4 linked regions of the Bombyx mori genome follow. The protein of the gene in region 1 purifies or fractionates together with the protein of each later gene. This does not show direct contact. Links are inferred from orthologs where the notes say so. Each region holds a gene or a part of one and is shown in the gene's direction. Other genes may lie near its edges.

Evidence for each region.
Region 2: the proteins of SWI/SNF-related matrix-associated actin-dependent regulator of chromatin subfamily E member 1 (region 1) and protein SSXT purify together in Homo sapiens (affinity purification with mass spectrometry; 4 studies listed by BioGRID and IntAct, counting the BioPlex papers as one, with this or other methods). This does not show direct contact. The link is inferred for Bombyx mori from reciprocal best matches to the Homo sapiens genes SMARCE1 and SS18.
Region 3: the proteins of SWI/SNF-related matrix-associated actin-dependent regulator of chromatin subfamily E member 1 (region 1) and protein polybromo-1 purify together in Homo sapiens (affinity purification with western blotting; 9 studies listed by BioGRID and IntAct, counting the BioPlex papers as one, with this or other methods). This does not show direct contact. The link is inferred for Bombyx mori from reciprocal best matches to the Homo sapiens genes SMARCE1 and PBRM1.
Region 4: the proteins of SWI/SNF-related matrix-associated actin-dependent regulator of chromatin subfamily E member 1 (region 1) and AT-rich interactive domain-containing protein 2 purify together in Homo sapiens (affinity purification with mass spectrometry; 7 studies listed by BioGRID and IntAct, counting the BioPlex papers as one, with this or other methods). This does not show direct contact. The link is inferred for Bombyx mori from reciprocal best matches to the Homo sapiens genes SMARCE1 and ARID2.

Annotation. Positions count from the first base shown.
Region 1 is NC_085120.1:6,523,186-6,528,329, reverse strand, and holds the start of SWI/SNF-related matrix-associated actin-dependent regulator of chromatin subfamily E member 1, read left to right. Parts: upstream 1-2,050; 5' UTR 2,051-2,209; exon of another isoform or gene 2,210-2,271; intron 2,272-3,068; 5' UTR 3,069-3,076; coding exon 3,077-3,143; intron 3,144-3,864; coding exon 3,865-3,909; intron 3,910-4,260; coding exon 4,261-4,538; intron 4,539-4,680; coding exon 4,681-4,884; intron 4,885-5,144. UniProt on the Homo sapiens protein: Involved in transcriptional activation and repression of select genes by chromatin remodeling (alteration of DNA-nucleosome topology).
Region 2 is NC_085110.1:12,910,958-12,915,725, forward strand, and holds protein SSXT, read left to right. Parts: upstream 1-1,392; 5' UTR 1,393-1,707; coding exon 1,708-1,929; intron 1,930-2,404; coding exon 2,405-3,517; 3' UTR 3,518-3,626; downstream 3,627-4,768. UniProt on the Homo sapiens protein: Appears to function synergistically with RBM14 as a transcriptional coactivator. Isoform 1 and isoform 2 function in nuclear receptor coactivation. Isoform 1 and isoform 2 function in general transcriptional coactivation.
Region 3 is NC_085132.1:4,583,043-4,587,447, reverse strand, and holds part of protein polybromo-1, read left to right. Parts: intron 1-117; coding exon 118-257; intron 258-1,479; coding exon 1,480-1,582; coding exon of another isoform or gene 1,583-1,583; intron 1,584-2,131; coding exon 2,132-2,173; intron 2,174-3,115; coding exon of another isoform or gene 3,116-3,132; coding exon 3,133-3,316; intron 3,317-4,129; coding exon 4,130-4,221; intron 4,222-4,405. UniProt on the Homo sapiens protein: Involved in transcriptional activation and repression of select genes by chromatin remodeling (alteration of DNA-nucleosome topology). Required for the stability of the SWI/SNF chromatin remodeling complex SWI/SNF-B (PBAF).
Region 4 is NC_085120.1:8,117,765-8,120,921, forward strand, and holds part of AT-rich interactive domain-containing protein 2, read left to right. Parts: intron 1-1,803; coding exon 1,804-1,895; intron 1,896-2,311; coding exon 2,312-2,414; 3' UTR 2,415-3,157. UniProt on the Homo sapiens protein: Involved in transcriptional activation and repression of select genes by chromatin remodeling (alteration of DNA-nucleosome topology). Required for the stability of the SWI/SNF chromatin remodeling complex SWI/SNF-B (PBAF).

The DNA of each region.
Region 1 (5,144 bases):
AGATTTGTCTTCTCCGAGGGCATCCTTTTATCTTCAACCAGCTTGGATTCCATTCTAAACACTCATGCACACAATAAGCGCACGCTTCACGGAGCACATACCATTAGGGCTTAGCGTTTAGAATGAGGTAGGCATTTAGTTTTTATAGCCACCCACCTTGAGATATAGGTTCTAAGTTCTCAGTATAGTTACAACGGCTGCCCCACCCTTCAAACCGAAACGCATTACTGCTTCACGGCAGAAATAGGCAGGGCGGTGGTACCTACCCGCACGGACTTACAAGAGGTCCTACCACCAGTAAAAGTAGTTATAACAATGTTGCATGATTAAATTCACTCAAGATGAAAATGTCTTTAATAGCCTCTAGATAATAAGGAGCCTCTAGGATCTTAATAACGAGTTTTTAGTTAAAATACGTTTAGATTTAGTCTTATAATGGAAACGTTAAAAAAGCGATTGATTTATGTAGATTATGTAAATCGTTACCAGTTTTCCATCGATGGACGTCGCCAACGATCTACCTCGTGTGTGCTTAGTGCGAGGGTTTTAACTGCTCGATCGCGTAGAAATTAAATCAAATTTGTATGGAGTTGGAACAGCTTCCCTTCGTACGCCGCCTCTAGCGAAGAAGAACTGAAGACAGAGCCGAGTTGGACCATCTGAATTAAAACAATAGTACACAATTATATAATTGGGCTGTGAGGTCGTCCACCCATCTAAGCAATAAAAAAAACCACAGTCTCGATCAGCGTGTTTGTCCCGCACTAGTGAATCTGAATACTCTGTTTCCAAAGCCGCAGACATAAGTCATACACAATACGTAGCCTTAGTTTATACATGTACAGATAGGCTCAAACAATGAAACCTGGTAACATGACAATTAGCATTATTATCATCTACTAATTTCGCAATGTCAAGCCACACCTATCTCGGAATAATATTAAAAGGTACCCTAGCTTCATATGCTAGATAGCTTTTATCGAATCCATGAATGCTCACTTGCACTCCGCCCATAGTCAAAACAGCCCTTCGTTGTGAATGAGTTTATATGACCATTGCATGTATTTATAATGTATTTTGGTGTGACTTAAATAACATTTAATTTTTTAATAAATTAATTTAAAAATTTGTTCAGTGCGCTTTGAAGAAACTAACTGCATTCTAGCAGTTATTATCTTTATGTATTTACCATTAGCGTAGGTATTGCTCTAATGTAAATTGTGTGTGACGATAGCAACAATAATCATCAAGGGCGTTATTTGCAAGTAAAAAAAAAGAAGACAATGTAACGTTTTTTCATAACAACAACGCGATCCGATTACCCCCTTTATCGTGTATCGTTGTGTTGGCATTTTATCTTCCAAACCAGCTTCTTTCTTCTTCTTCTTTTTTTTTTAAATCTGACATTTGTTTTCTTAATGTTTATTTATGGCCAATAGTTACATTCTCTTTTATCTTAGTTTAATTTAAAAGATTTCTACATACAGAGTATATAAAAGCTTCTATTATTCCGTTATATGAAAAATGCTGTGCGATATGAGATTAACTTCATTAATTTGAGTCTTCAATCAATTGGGATGAAATTAAAAGAGACGACATGAAATGGGATAAAAAAAAGTAAAGTCTCCGTAAAATACAGTTTTTTTAGGATTGAGAGATTACTGGTGGCCCGGAGGCCTTTTCAATTTCGCCAGGACAGATCGGCGAGCAAACACTCAGCCAGGATTTGCTAACAACTGCCCGAGCGCCTCCAAAGAGACCTAACAACCCACGAGCAGCAAAATAGTGGTTATTTACTGAAAGTTCGGTGGATTTTTTCGAAAAACCAGAGATGCCACGTTCGGTGGCTTGTGTTTAATTTTCCCACATTTGTACATACACTTTCACTAATGCCAAATAGTTAACAAATCACAATTTTTACACAATTAAACGCGAAGAGATCCAAAATCAACATTTTAAAACGACCTTAGAATGAACGTACAATTTAATAATCGACTAACAAAACTATGTGTTACATTTGATACCATAAATTGCTCTACTCTAATCTACGTTGACAACGTCAATTGTCATTTGGTTCAATTAAATTAAAAATGGAATGAAAGATGGAGATTGAAATAGGCCCGTTAGTATTTTAATGAAAAAGACGCGTTGCCATTATCGAGCCTTTTAAAAATTAAACCAAGCTTGAACTTTCAATAAAAGCGATAAGGTAGTACGATACATCATTTATTAAGTTTTAACTTACTTTACTCTTTGGTTTTTACTAAATAAGTAAGTAAGTAATATGGTTGCATAAAACTTTATTTTTATAAACAATGTATCTTGATAGCGGATTTGTTCGTATTACAACAAAAAAGTAAACAGACTTACAAAATAATTGTTGCATTATTTCCAAGCAATTTCATTCAAAAAAATTAAACATTTTAAGTTATCTTTAAATTCAAATACATCCGTACTGTTGGCATTTTCATTAAGATGTTTAACAATGCAAACACAGCGTGATCATAGCCTCTTTATATTAGCCTATCCAAATAAGACTCCAATTTAATCATTTGTAATATTAGTCATTCAGCCTCCCTTCAACAAAGTGGTTATAAAATGAAGCGAATAAAAAAGAACTGACTTTCAATATCGACGTCGTCTCTTGTTTTTTTCAGTTTTGTGATTTCCACCTATAACATTTTAATTAAAAGTATTAAGTACAGATTAAGGATATATTTTTGTTTGTTTTCCCAAACACCTTATGTAGACTAGAAATCATTAAATGAAACTTAATAAAATGCAAACGAGGGGATTGAAATTAAATTGCCATAACTGCAATACATTTTTTAAATAATCCCCATTATACAGCTGGTGTTCTTTCTGTAATTATATACATCCCAAAAATTTGAACAAGAAGTGCTTGTGAAGTAGTTTCACCAGTATTGAGTTTGTAATGGTGTGAGACTTGTTTTATAAAATGTATAATATGACTATGACACTAGCTCATAAACTATGAGTACAAAAAATAAAGAATGATAAGCCAATAAATATGCTTGTTTTGGAATAAATTCAAAATTTGGTTTCAGGTGTGCCAATGGCTACACAAAACAATTACAAACAAAACACTTCGATGTCAATGCCCAGTCCTCAGAGCAATCCGCGTTTGTATTACCAACTATAATCACAAAAAATTTAAATATATATTTTATTAAATTTTAAATATTATTAATGTAGTGAATGTTGACTGCCATTGAATTTGTAATGATATGTTCTAAACAGCTAATTTTATTTAAAAACTAGATAATACTAATCTTTTAAAAATGTTTCCTTTTATATAAACTTTGTTGGATTTTCTCTTAATTTAAGTCTGATCTGATTTAAATGTTTCCTGAGACCTCTTCATATTTACATTGATATGCTGTGAGTTTTCTTGCAGCAAAATAATGGAGGGACAAGATGGCAATCAACACATTACACTGTATATTTTAAATTATAAATTAGTAAGAAATAAGTTAGTAATAAGCTAATGTAATGATAGCAGTGCTAATTACGTTTAGATTTTTTTAATAAAATATTAATGGCAATAGTTATAGTATTTTATCAAATAGATTGTTTATTGTTAGTAAGAATGTTGTTAGATACTAACTTCATTAACATGTGAAGTTGTCGCCATTGCAAGCTTGGCAGTGCTGAGAACTGTACCTGATATAGCTGGTATCTAACTGCATTTAAACTTTTTACTTAGAGCATGACTCCCATATCTTAGCTTTTAAGCTACAGTAACAAAACTTATTTTTTTCTTACTTTAATTTTATCCTAATGCATTTTAGACTTACATTCCATTATGTTGGTTTTGTTTCATGTTTTGTTATAATGATACAGACTACATGATTGCGGGCCCCCCAATGAGTTTCGGCATGATGAAAGGTAATGCCACAATCTAAATTGACTTTCTATTCAAAATTTTGTATCACACACCCATTTTCGTTTCAAAACTTAGGTATTTCTGTGGGGTTATTAAAAAAGATAATTGCACAAAATTTTTCTCTTCTCTCAACGACACAAGCCATCACCTCTTTAGTCTTTCGCTAATTAAAGCCTACTAAAAAATTTACAGCTAGATTGCTCGCAAATAACTTTCTTAACGTTTATTTTTTAATTTTTCTAGATGTTTTAGTGCATATTTGAATTTTTGTTGGCTCCCCTCCCGTCCTGCTCCTTTACGCTTTTTGTTTTTTTTTTCTTTCATTGTATTGCCGCCCGCTGCTTGGCTTGAAGGCGGTATGAATGCACCGTCGCCGCACCATAACCAATATCAGTACCACCCGCAATACCAAGGTGGGGGGGGCATGGTTCACCCGGGTCCCCCGGGGGGCTACGGCCCGTGGCACGCCCCCCAGCAACAGGGCCGTTTCGCTGCAGAGGGCGCCCGCCGCGCGGCCTCCGCCTCACAGCCCTCACAAGGTGCCAAAGATGATAAGACAAGTCCATTTGTATCCACCGTACATTCACATCCTGGATTCCAACCTCAGAAAATCGGGAAAGGTGCTGGTGTTGTAAGTATAATCTGTATCACTATTTGTTACTGTATTCAAAATACACTTTACATTAATACAAAAAGCCACAAATACCAAAAACTGTCTTAACTTATAAAATTTTTGTTTCCTATATAACAAACCATATTTATTACTACCCCAGGGAGCCGGACTACCAAAGCCACCAAAACCTCCAGAAAAACCTCTCATGCCGTACATGAGGTACTCACGCCGTGTATGGGACAGTGTAAAAGCAGCACATCCAGACCTCAAACTATGGGAAATTGGACGTATAATAGGCGGCATGTGGAGGGACCTGCCTGAATCTGAGAAAGCTGGGTTTGTCGATGAATATGAAGCTGAAAAGGTATGAGAGGCTGTCTGCTGATGCAAAATCTATACTTCTATACTTAATATACACTACAGTGGTTTTTACGGATGTTCCATTATAACTACTGAACCATGCATCCGATTGACTTGAAACTTAGTATCCATGTAGAAAATACATGTACTTAATAGATGGGCTAATATTTATATGAGTGTTGGACTCCCTACACCAGTTGTGGGGGTGTTGACGATGAGAATCTTTATGGGGGTGAGAAATAATAATGTTTATTTTAAATGCCC
Region 2 (4,768 bases), on another chromosome or scaffold:
TGGTCATGCCAGACAGTCTCGTGCTCATCGTACGAGACTTGTCTTAACTTGTCGAGACTTGAGTTGTCAAACCGTTCGTTTCAATATCGAGTCGAGGAAACTCGCTCTCTCCCGCGACATATCTCGGCCGGAGTCCCGTAAGGCTCCGTTCTCTCCCCGCTACTGTTTAGCCTGTTTATTGACGATACACCTCGGTCGCCCGCCCGATTTACACGAGTAGGAAGATGTCGTTCATGCATAGTAAACTCCAAATCGTGGCCACCAATTTAGGATAGTGGTTCCGGAAGTGGCACATTGGTGCATTGATATCAACCACACAAAAATCACAGCCGTGCTCTCCAAAAGGGGTCGTCCTCCCGAGACTACTGCTAGTATCTTATCACCAATTAGGCGCGGTAACTTCATTTCCGCTATTAAAATCCTTGGCCAGCCCATACCGTGGACTTCGAAAGCTAACTACTAAAGCGTCACTTTCGACAGGGGGATGACATTCGGGTCCCACATTAAGTCAGTACGCGACCGACCCGCGTTCTTCTACCCCATGACCTGCAAGCGAAGTAAAAATTGTGCCTTCATAACAAAGTATTACTCTACAAAACTTGCATACGTTCTGTCACGACCTATGCAAGTGTAGTGTTTGCTCACGCGGCCCGTACACACATTAACCCTTTCCATGTAATAAAACCCCGTTTCTTAAGGATAGCCGTCAGAGAACCGTAGCATATGAGGAACGTAGATCTTCACGATGACCTGAATCTAATACCGATTCGTAAGCATCTTACGGAAGCGCCAGAACGCTACTTCGTCAAAGCGGGGCGATCCGATAACCCTCTTATCGTGGCCGCCGCTAATTACTTATCCGACCGCGACTGGGCAACGCAAGGCGCCGTTGCCCGAAATATGTCTTTTCGGATCCCCCGGATTGACTCTCGGTACTTTTAGGACCCTGAAGCATCGGTCACAGAGCTCGTCGATTACGACGATGAGTTCGGGAGCTCACTTACCCGTCCGGGTGTAGCTGGAATAGCCTCTTAATATCCCAGTGAATAGTTAGGAGAGAAAAAAAGACGAAATTGTGAATGAAATGAAATTGATTTTGAGACAAAGGTTAAAGGCTTATTACACTGGCTAAATTTAGTCGACTGAATTCAGAAGCAAATTTAGAAGCTTCTGATTACACTGTTCTAAATTTAGTTACTAAATAAATTGTCACATGGTTTTTTTGTAGAACCCGACAAACTTCATCTTTCGATTTGTTTTCCGTAATAAGCATTTGTGCAATTTTACACAATGATAGTATATAGAATGAATCTTACGACATTAAAGAATAATGTTACTAACTCGTACGGACTCAAAACACGCCCTACCACAAGTAGCTTTTCTAAAAGTCTCAGCAAATTACTCCTATTTAGCCGACAAATTAATTTAATTAGTTTATTTTATTCAATTCTCTTTATACAATTTCAATCAAAAATAAAGATAATTCTTGCGTTATGATTTATTTTATTTTTCAGTGCTTTAGCTTTTGCATCTAACTTTCGTATAGCCTATGTTCCCTCTGCCCCTACTCTGCTATTAAACTCTTTGGTTTGTCCAATTTCTGAACAAATCAAACAAAAAATAAAATCAAGTAAATTAAAAATCTATGAATTTTCTACCTGAAGTGCTATGTAATAGAGGAATAATAGCAATATTTTAAATTACACAATGTCTGTAGCGTTTGCGGCACGAGGAAATCGTCCTCCTTTAAGTCCGGCACAAATACAAAAAATGTTGGATGAAAATGCTCATCTAATACAAACAATACAAGAATACCAAGCAAAAGGGCAAATAATGGAATGTCACCAATATCAGCAAATACTGCACAGGAACTTGGTTTATCTCGCATCTGTAGCTGACGCTAACCAAAATATACAGAGCATTTTACCGGTAACATTTTTTTATTACTTCATTAAGACATACATGGCATGGCCAACCTGGTGTTTAGCGGACTCCTTTAACATAACGAAGGCGTCACCCTTCAAACCGGAATGAACGTGGATTTTTGGACTTTATTTTCAGTGGAGACATTATTTAAAACAATAAAATTTATGTTTGTTTGAAATGGAAAAATTCTGATTAGTTGAGAGAAAGTGACAGAAAGGAATCAAATAAAGCAAAATAATCTATTAATTTTCATTATGTTAAACACTAGAGATGATTTGTGTATCTTGAAATTAGGATAATTAGTCTAGCTTGTTCACAAAGTAGTTCAATTTAGGTGCTGATACAACTTCTGGCAGCCTGTTCCATTCCATGATTATATGGTTTGGTTCATCAAAGGGCTTATCTGATGAGATATTCTACTTAAAAGTTATTTTGTACTGAAAGAATATATAGAATTAGTTGTTTTTTTTACTTTCAGCCTCCTCATCAATTAGCCACCGGAAATGTATCTCAATCTCCACCTATAAATCCCCCAACCAATGCAACTGATGCATCTGCTGGTGGTCAACAAGCCTACAGACAACCTTCAAGTGTTAGTTCAACACCAACAAGACCAACTCAATCATATGCTCAAAGACCTTATGGTCAAGGTCAATATCAAGGCCAGTATCAGAATGCACCTGGAGGGTACCCTCCACAAACGGGATATGGCTCTAATAATCAAGGATATGCTCCACCTAATCCATCCCAACCCCAAGGCTATCCTCCGAACTCTAATTATGGTCCACCAATTACAACAACTCCAAATAACTATCCACCATCTACTCATCCAGGATCTAACTATCCACCTTCTTCGTCTCAACAACCTTATGCACCACCTTCTGGTAGCCCAGTTTCAGCTGGTGCTCCATATCCTGTGCGTGGCTCATCTCAACCACCATACACTGGAAATTCCACATATCCTCCAGGTCAAGCTGGCTCAAATTATTCTAATGTTGGTGTAAGTACTTATAATTCAACTGCTCAACCACCACAACCATACCAGTCACAACCATTTCCAAATACAACTCCAACATCTGCATATAGTTCAACATCAACTTCTCAGCCTAACCGTTCTCCTCAACCCCCAAACAATTATTCTCAACAGAATCCTACAAGTTCCACTTATGGATCACCATCTGCCCAGTCACCAACCTATAATACTAGTCCCCATGGAAGTAGTGTCCTTACAACTGCCTCATCTGGTGGACAAACACCAAGTGGTCCTACTGGACAACAATATCAGGCTCCTTCACAACCATCACCTTATACACCTGTTACACAACCTTATTCAAACCCTTCCTCGCAACCTGGGAGTCCAGCTCCTTCAGTATCCACTGCTCCACCTCCTACTTCCTATGCTCAAACACCTCAAAATTATCCACCAGCTGGAGGTGCGTATCCACCGCATGCATATCAACAGGGATATCCACCAGCACAGTATCCACCCTCCCCTTATCCTTACACACGAGCACCCGCTCCTGGTGCTCCACCTCCTGGTAATCCACAACCGTACCCAGGTTATGGATTCCAACCTCCTGCCCAGCAATGATTTGCATATTTTTAAAACCTTATAATAAATATGCTTAGGTTTAAACCCCAAAACCTATTAAAGTGTACTTCTACATTCTAATAATTTGAAAATAAAATATAGTGAGTGATATTTTGTTTTAATTCAAAAATTTTACATACTACAATAACTAATTCGTTACAGTATCCTACTAAAATGAACAATTGAAATAATACAAGGATCAAAATTGATCAAATAACTTTATCAGCTCTTTGAATTCACTTAATGCAAAAATTTGGGGCTGTTTGATATCAATGATCATCACTATGTTACATCATCATTAATTTAAAGACTTGTGATTTTTGTAACAATTATATTTTTAAATCCATCGCATGCTATCAAGGAACAGTCATTGAATTGGATTAATTAGAATAATTTGTAGATATGTTACAGTACTGAAAGTTATTAATTAGAAAAAATTTTGCATTATCAAAGTTGGTTTTATTGAACTAGGATTTATAACGGCCCACATGAGGGTAAAGTTACCGTCGTTAATGCCAACTCAGCGTAGCCAAGACTACCGCTCAGGACTCATAACAAACCACATTTGAACAAGAACTCTTCTTCAGGAAAATTATGCTGGGAGTTCATATAATGTCATGGTAGGTAGTAAAAAGTAGATGGTAGGATCACCTGAACCAAATATCTCACATTACGTACACCCCATGAAACATAAAAAAACCCAAAGGACCTGAAGTTGCATGTAGGCCTGGAGATTCTAGGCAAACCGAAAGTCATTTGTAGTCGTCGTGGCCTAAAGGATAAGACGTCCGGTGCATTCGTGTGTAGCGATGCACCGGTGTTCGAATCCCGCAAGCGGGTACCAATTTTTCTAATGAAATACGTACTCAACAAATGTTCACGATTGACTTCCACGGTGAAGGAATAACATCGTGTAATAAAAATCAAACCCGCAAAATTATAATTTGCGTAATCACTGGTGGTAGGACCTCTTGGAAGTCCGTACGGGTAGGTACCACCACCCCGCCTATTTCCGCCGTGAAGCAGTAATGCGTTTCGGTTCGAAGGGTGGGGTAGCCGTTGTAACTTTACTGAGACCTTAGAACTTATATCTCGAGGTGGGTGGCGCGTTTACGTTGTAGATGTCTATGGGCTCCAGTAACCACTTAACACCAGGTGGGCTGTGAGCTCGTCCACCCATCTAAGCAATAAAAAAAAAAAAACATTAACACGACAGGATCAGGACAGATATTCGTTCGCAAACTAGCACAA
Region 3 (4,405 bases), on another chromosome or scaffold:
TTTTTTACGCTCCCCCGAACCGGACCGCAGAAAGAGAAGGCACGAGAAAGATTATGTCGCGCAACCCTAACACGAAGGTACGTCTGGGCTAAGGCTCGCTTTGAATGATTCCGCCAGGCGACATATCGCGCATCGTGGGCAACGAGTGGCGCTCGCTGCCCGCCGCCACCAAGCAGAGCTGGGAGGAGCGAGCCGCGCGCTGCAACGAGGAGACCGCCGCCAGGCTCGCCGACGAGATGCGCGAGTTGGCGCAACACGTTAGTGCCCAAACAACCGCCAAACAGCGACCCAAATACCTTTTGCATCGTCCTCTAACGACAAGAAATGCCATTCTACAATCATATCTATTTCGAAGTGAAACTTCTTTAGGATCGTTGCGATTTCAAACTCGATGAAACGAAAAAATAAGTCCATAGAGACACAAACACATAAATGTATAGGATTCAGCCGGCGAGAGAATGAGATAGAACACATTAGATGTTGTCGGTCTCCTCTTTTTGCGACTCTTCGTAGTATCCCCACTATCGTCTACTAAACATTGTCCATATGTATGCTCCTGTGTAGTGGGATAGTCAGTCACACACTTTTTTTCCTACCTATTCTAGAAACCTCGAGGAGTTATTCTAGATTCACAGTGGGCTATGTCTATGGGTTAATTTACTCATCGAGCCCTTCGTTGCAAGCGACGGGTTCGGCGAGGACGGTGACCCGTACTTGAAGTATCTAAAAGCACCGTTACTGGATCGGGAGGATCCGTAATGACGTGCTTAGGGCGACGTCGACTGTTTACCATTCGGTCCACAGGATCGGGTATGATCATATCAATGATGACGAATCTCGATGACTATAACATTGGCCCCGAATCGGCGGTACTGAGTAAACACAACCCTGTTGAAACTGGAAAGGCACCCGGGCTACAAGTGATCCATGTCTTAAAAAAAAAACAAAAAAAAACCGTGCACGTGAATGAAGTGAAACTTCTTTTTTGATGTGTAGTAATGTGGTTTTCATCCTTAAATCAGATTGCTCTTGTAATAGAGAAGGCTGTGTATAAAAGATACGTCATCTTCAACACTTATATTATATATATTTTAAATTATAGATAGAAAAATAAATATATATATTTTTAAATACTTCATTAAAATATTGGACGCTACTCGTTGTAACAGGAATACTATGCGCTTGCGCTCGAGTGACACGCATTCACTCTCGCTCTGTCTCTTTCTATTCCATGGCAGAGTTAAACGTTTAACGCAACCTTGTTGGAAGTCACATTAGAAGTTTCACTTAAAAAAAAAAGTAAGCACACTCCCGGAACGTGCATGATTCTTATAACAGACAGACCACTGTAGAGGTTTTCAAGCTCGCACCTTAACACTTGATTGTCAAAGAAGAACCAGTCATAAAATGGTCAGCGTTATGCAATATACTTTAATGAAAACATAGACATTAATTTAGTGAATGTATTAATATTTTTAGACAACAATGGAGATGACGTACGAATGCGCCTGGGACACGTGCGACTGTCAGTTCGAGGACCTGACCGACTGCATGGAGCACTGCATCGGCGACGGAGGAAACAGTAAATATCTTTACATTTTACACATTTCATTTGGAAGCTTTGAAAAGTGCTTAGGCTTAAAAAAAAACACTTCTAAGAAATTCGAGTAGATTCTTCTCGAAATATCATGTCTATTCATTACAGTCATTCCGTCAAGTAAATTAAGGGATTTTAAAATTAATAGGAAGTAATTTAGACTTTGATCTCCCATCACAAGGCGAAACAAATGATATAATTTTTGAAGTTATACTTCTACACATATACAAAATTATTTCATATAATTCATACTAAATATTATTAAATTATTAACGTTAAATATTTATTATTAATCATTGAATATTTAAAAAAAAAAAGAAATAATTTTAATAAAAATGAAGTATAACTTCTTACATAAGCACACGCACCCTTTTTTTTTTGTTTGTTTCTATGCTACTCACTCTGTTTGTATTGTATGTCTTAAATTCAGTATTAAAAGTTTATTTTATTCTCTGACTCAACTTGCGTTCTCGTATGGGAGCTAGATAGACTTTTGCTAATGTGTTTTTTGTTCGTACTTTAAAACGCTGCCAGTGATCGGAACGTATCTAGAACCGAAAAGACCTAAACTAGAGCGTAAGTATCAAGTTGAAATCGTTGGAACGGTGATACTCAACTACACAACTCTAAAAATGTGCAGCTAAATTTTATAAATGAGTCGTCTATTATCAAAGGTGGCAATCTGTGCATTTGGACAAAAAAATGTTATTGATATGTCAATACAGATTGATTTGAATATAATCGTCTCCTTCAAAGAATACGGTTCAAAATCTGCATTAAATAAAGGTTAATAGTTAACCTGTTATTTATCTAAGATGTCGTTCGGAAGAGTTTTGTGACTACCAATGGAATACAAAGTCAATAATTCGTTTTTCTGATTTACCAATAATTGTCCAAAAGTCACATTGCCGGCTTTGATAATAGTCGACTCAAATTTGCTTAGAAAAAATTAGTTTTTATTTTATTACGAGCAAAGTTTAGATTAATTAATAGTACCTAATCAGAATAACGTCGTTGTCAAACCAAAATCTGCTATGTGTAAAAACTCTATTTTGAATTAACGAGTAAAAAAAACATTTTCGTATGAAATTTTTATATGAAGGTGAATTTTTATGAACTCTATCAAATGAAAGCTATAGATGAAGTATTAAAGCTATAGACACATAACAGTTTTTCTTATACGGTAGACAGGGCTGTGAACTATACGAAAAGTGCACATAGCAGATTTTGGCTTACAACGACGATATGTTAAAATTTTAAATAGTACAATATATAATAACAAAATCCTTTTTTTGTGTCGATCAAAACAACTTCAACGTAATTTATTTAAAGTTTAAAGTAATTTGTAACATACGGGACTGCATTGAAAACATTCGACAAATATTCGACGATTAACGTGCAAACGAAAACAGTAGTATTTATTACGTATGAAGTCGTCGAAATTTGTCGATGATTCGGTGCGGCCCCGGGGCCCGAGTGCGGCGTTGTTAATGAACGTCCACAATGTGGTCCGCCGGGAACATGCGTGAACGCAGCGGGGCACATCCAGCAACACTACCGCGGCTCGTTCAGCGAGTACCCCTGTCTGTGGCGGAACTGCGCGCGCGTGCGCAAGGGGCAGGCGCCCTTCCCCAACCTGCCGCGCCTGCTGCGACACGTGCGCGACCTGCACGTCAACAAGGGCAACGGACGACTCATGGCCGTGCATGAACGCTCCAGGTACGCACGCACGCACACACGCACGAGCACGCGCGCGCGCACACAAACAAACAAACACACACACACACATGCACTCACACACATGCACACACACACGCACATATATCGAGAGGCGAAAGTCTATTTAGTTAAAGCAACATTTCGCTTCATCATCAGCCTGTATCTCTCCACTGCTCGGTGTGAGCCTCTCCCATAGTCTGCAACTAAATTTTTATTATGATATTTTAAACTTTAAATGGCTCCCCTGTGAAGTTGCTAAAAGGTCGCTTAAAGCACCTTTCTAGCTTTTCACCCCTCGATATATACCACCGCAATGTCCGGCCTTAGATTTAGCTTCACGTTCTTAACGCAGCGTTTGCGTGATCGCGTCCACAAACTTCAGAAGCTTTTGATCATCCAAAATTTTTATCTTTGATTCATTATTTATCATGTTATTATTATTATTATGATTTTATACAGTGAACCCGCAATGTACCGAGAAGTTGTCAGTCTCGTAGAACATTTTCGTTCAAGCTGGCGCAATATGTTTTGATGAAGATGAATAAATAAACCGGACCTCACGGACAAGCTGTTACACAAACAAAATCAGTTTTCACTTTCGATTTTTGAACAGATTTTCAATTTTTTTTTACTATAACACATTTGGGAACATTTTTTTTTAATGAACCTTACAATAAAAACTGTAAGTAACAAAGCAAGTAAAACGAAAGTATATCTTAGATGCCAGTGATTACGGTCGAACTTCGATGACAAAGCAAATATGTACCGCTTACAAAAAAAAACTTATAATAAATTAATAATTTTTTGATTTAGGAATTTCATGCTGTCATCGAAGAAGCCGCGGCCGGCGGTGCGGAGCGGCGTCATGTCCCCCGGAGGTACAAATAGCAGTAGTAATAGCCAAGGTTCGCATGCTGACGTACTAACAAACGGGACCGGCGCTCCACGCACACTAACCGAACAGTGTGCTTAGTGCGAGCTTTTTAACGTTCTCGATAGCGTAAAAGTTAACTCAGATTTGTATGGAGCTAGAACAGCGCCCCTAGCGGCAAACATAGGCAAACTGGTGGTAGGACCTCTTGTGAGTCC
Region 4 (3,157 bases), about 1.6 Mb from region 1:
TGGGTCGCGTTTCAGATCCGGTGGTAGATTCTGCGAAGCACTGCTCTTGCTAGGGTCAGTGTTAGCAACACTCCGGTTTGAACCCCGTGAGCTCACCTACATGTTAGGGCGAAGCTGTAATAGCCTTCCAAGGCTATCTGCATAGGTAGGAAAAAAAAAGTTGCGTCTATGAAATTCTGTCAATAGCACTAGATGTGCCGGGCCCTAGACGAAAGTAAACAGGAATAAGTAATATAGTTTTTAGTGACACCTTTAAAACACGAGGCTTAAGTATGAAATTTACTTCCATTATTTTCATCCAACTCTGAGCTGTGTACGAAGTTTTGAGTTTTGATTAGGTAGATCATTTGAAAAAAAATGGAAAAAGAAAAGAAAGAAAGAAAAATACTTTTTAAATTTTTTTAATTGCTTAGATGAGTGGACGAACTCACAGCCCACCTGATGTTAAGCGGTTACTGGAGCCTATAGACATCTACGACGTAAACTACCACCAGTAATTCAACCGATGTGTCATACGGATGGAAAACGTTAAAAATCTTTCTATGTGAATTAAAAAAAACTTCTATATAACGGGCTATATATCGATTCTGACGTTGACATCGCTACACACACTTGTATGATACAATATATAATAAACTGCCCCGAAACTCAATGTCAAGTGGGTACGGGGCGACGAATTACAACCTAATTCGTTTCACTAATTCAGGGAAAAATAAAAACAAAAATCCATTTAACTCGGTTAACTGAATAGCCAATACAAAATCTAGCGGAACTACGCCGCAAAATACCTGAAACTGCGGAATAAAGAGACTCAAAAAGTTACACGCGATTCGTTAAAAAAAACTTTTCTGAGGCGATTTTAAAATATCAGTATGTGACTAGTATTTGTTTTTAAGAAATATCGATTTTATTCGGTTTTTAAATGTAATAATAATCGATTTGAATTTAACGTAACGTTGTGTACAAAAGTGAGTTACACGGTTTGTCAATGTTAGGGTTTCTTGCGGAACATACGGGTGGTTACCGCCACCCTGCCCTTAAAATCTCCATAACAGTCTTTAGTTTAGATAAGAAGGGCGGGTTAGTCGTTTATACAACACAAATGAGACCTTCCAGTACGTGTATCGAGGTGGGTGATGGGACGGGAAGGGATTGTGACGTCCAACTGTCTTTATACTATAACTAGCTGTACCCGTCCGCATCGCTGGGCACTTAAAATTAACATTATTATTTCTCATCCCCAAAAAGATTCTCATCATTAATGCCCCCGCAACTGGTGTAGGGAGTCCAATGCTGATATAAATATTAGCCTATCCATTAAGTACATGTATTTTCTACATGGATACCAAGTTTCAAGTCAATCGGATGCATGGTTCAGTAGTTATAACGGAAAATCCGTAAAAACAACTGTAGATTTATATATTAGTATAGATTATTAAGAGATTGATCTACATGTCGGCTCCATTATCGTGTTTCTTGCTTTGCTAATCTCAAACTTTTGTATCTATTGGTTCTTTATTCGTTCGTGCTTTCATTGAATGCTTTCGGAAAGTTATTACGCAAATATAGAAGTATACAACTACAATTGTTAAATAAAAATATGATATATAGACAACAAAAAAAAAACTAGATTTTTCATGAAACATGCATGCTCTTATAGGTTGGGAAATTATATGTAATAAAATGGTGTGAAGATATTTTTGTTGTTAAATTTACGATTTGACGATGTCGTTTTTTGTTTGTTTTTTAAATAGTATTGTTAATGTGGAAAGTCCTCGGTAATGTATTTTTGTGTTGATCCAGGACGAAAATGAAGGTCCCGTAACGAAGAGCATTAGATTGACGGCCGCCCTCATCCTGAGGAATATCGTCATTTATTCGAATACAGGAAGACGGTGAGTTTTAAATTTAAATATGTTGTTATCTCCGACTTTTCATACCCGATCCGGTGGAATGGTAAACAGTCGACGTGGTCCTAAACACGTCATTACGGATCCTCCTGATCCATTAACGGTGCTTTTAGGCATCACAAGCACCGGTCACCGTCCTCTTCAAACCCGTCGCTTGCGACTAAGGGTTCGACGAGTGAATTAACCCACAGACACAGCCCACTGAGTTTCTCGCCGGATCTTCTCAGTGGCTTGCATTTCCGATCCGGTGGTAGATTTTGCGAAGCACTGCTCTTGCTAGGGCCAGTGTTAGCAACACTCCGGTTTGAGGTCACTTACTAGTTAAGGTTACGCTTATATAGCCTCTCAAGGCTATCAGCTTAGGTAGGAAAAAAAAACCTTATTTATTTACGTTGTTTCAGGCAATTGCGTTCGTACGAATCGCATTTGTCCGCGATCGCGCTCAGCACGGTCGAAGCCTCGCGCACGATCGCCCAAGTATTGTACGACATGAACAACATATGAGAATCGCTTAATGGGCACAAGCCCTGAGCGGACGTGTGAAAAGCAGAGCCGCGTTGAAAAAAAAAAATTTTTTTTTCTCTAACGTCATATAAAATCGGCCTTAAGCGTGGCACAACAAGAAATAAAATTTTTTTTTTTCTCTTTAACGTCCTATAAAATCGGCCTTAAGCGTGGCGCAACACGAACTGTCATTTTGTATGTCTAATACATGATCAGTATTTTATGAAATTTTTAAACGGGTCACGTTCGATTGTGTGTATATGTCTTATTAGTGCGCGAACGAGTGGATCTAGACTTTAAGTATAGTTTTTTTTTAATAAAGTAAGGTATAATGATAATTGTTTTGTATGAATGAAACTTGTTCTACTGTAAGTTTGAGAAAAAAAAAAACAATAGAGACTTATGTTTCATTGACAACTAATTCGAACGAAGTTCCGTTTGCTTTATCTTTTTTGTGTTTGTAATAAGTAAAGATTAAAAAAAATAAAAAAATAAAGAGTTAGTTAAACGATGCATAAAATGAATGAAATGTGTATGAAGTTGGTCTTGCAATTTTTTTTTCGAGAAGATGAAAAAAAAATATGTCACTATTTTATTATTTATTATAAAAATATAAAATATTTTTGCATTTTCTCAAATAGGACGGTAAGCTGAATCGATAGAGAAATGCCTCAGTTACAATATCGTATTCAATACAAATTGTATGTAATATTGTAAACTCTGTTCCAATATAGATGTATTTT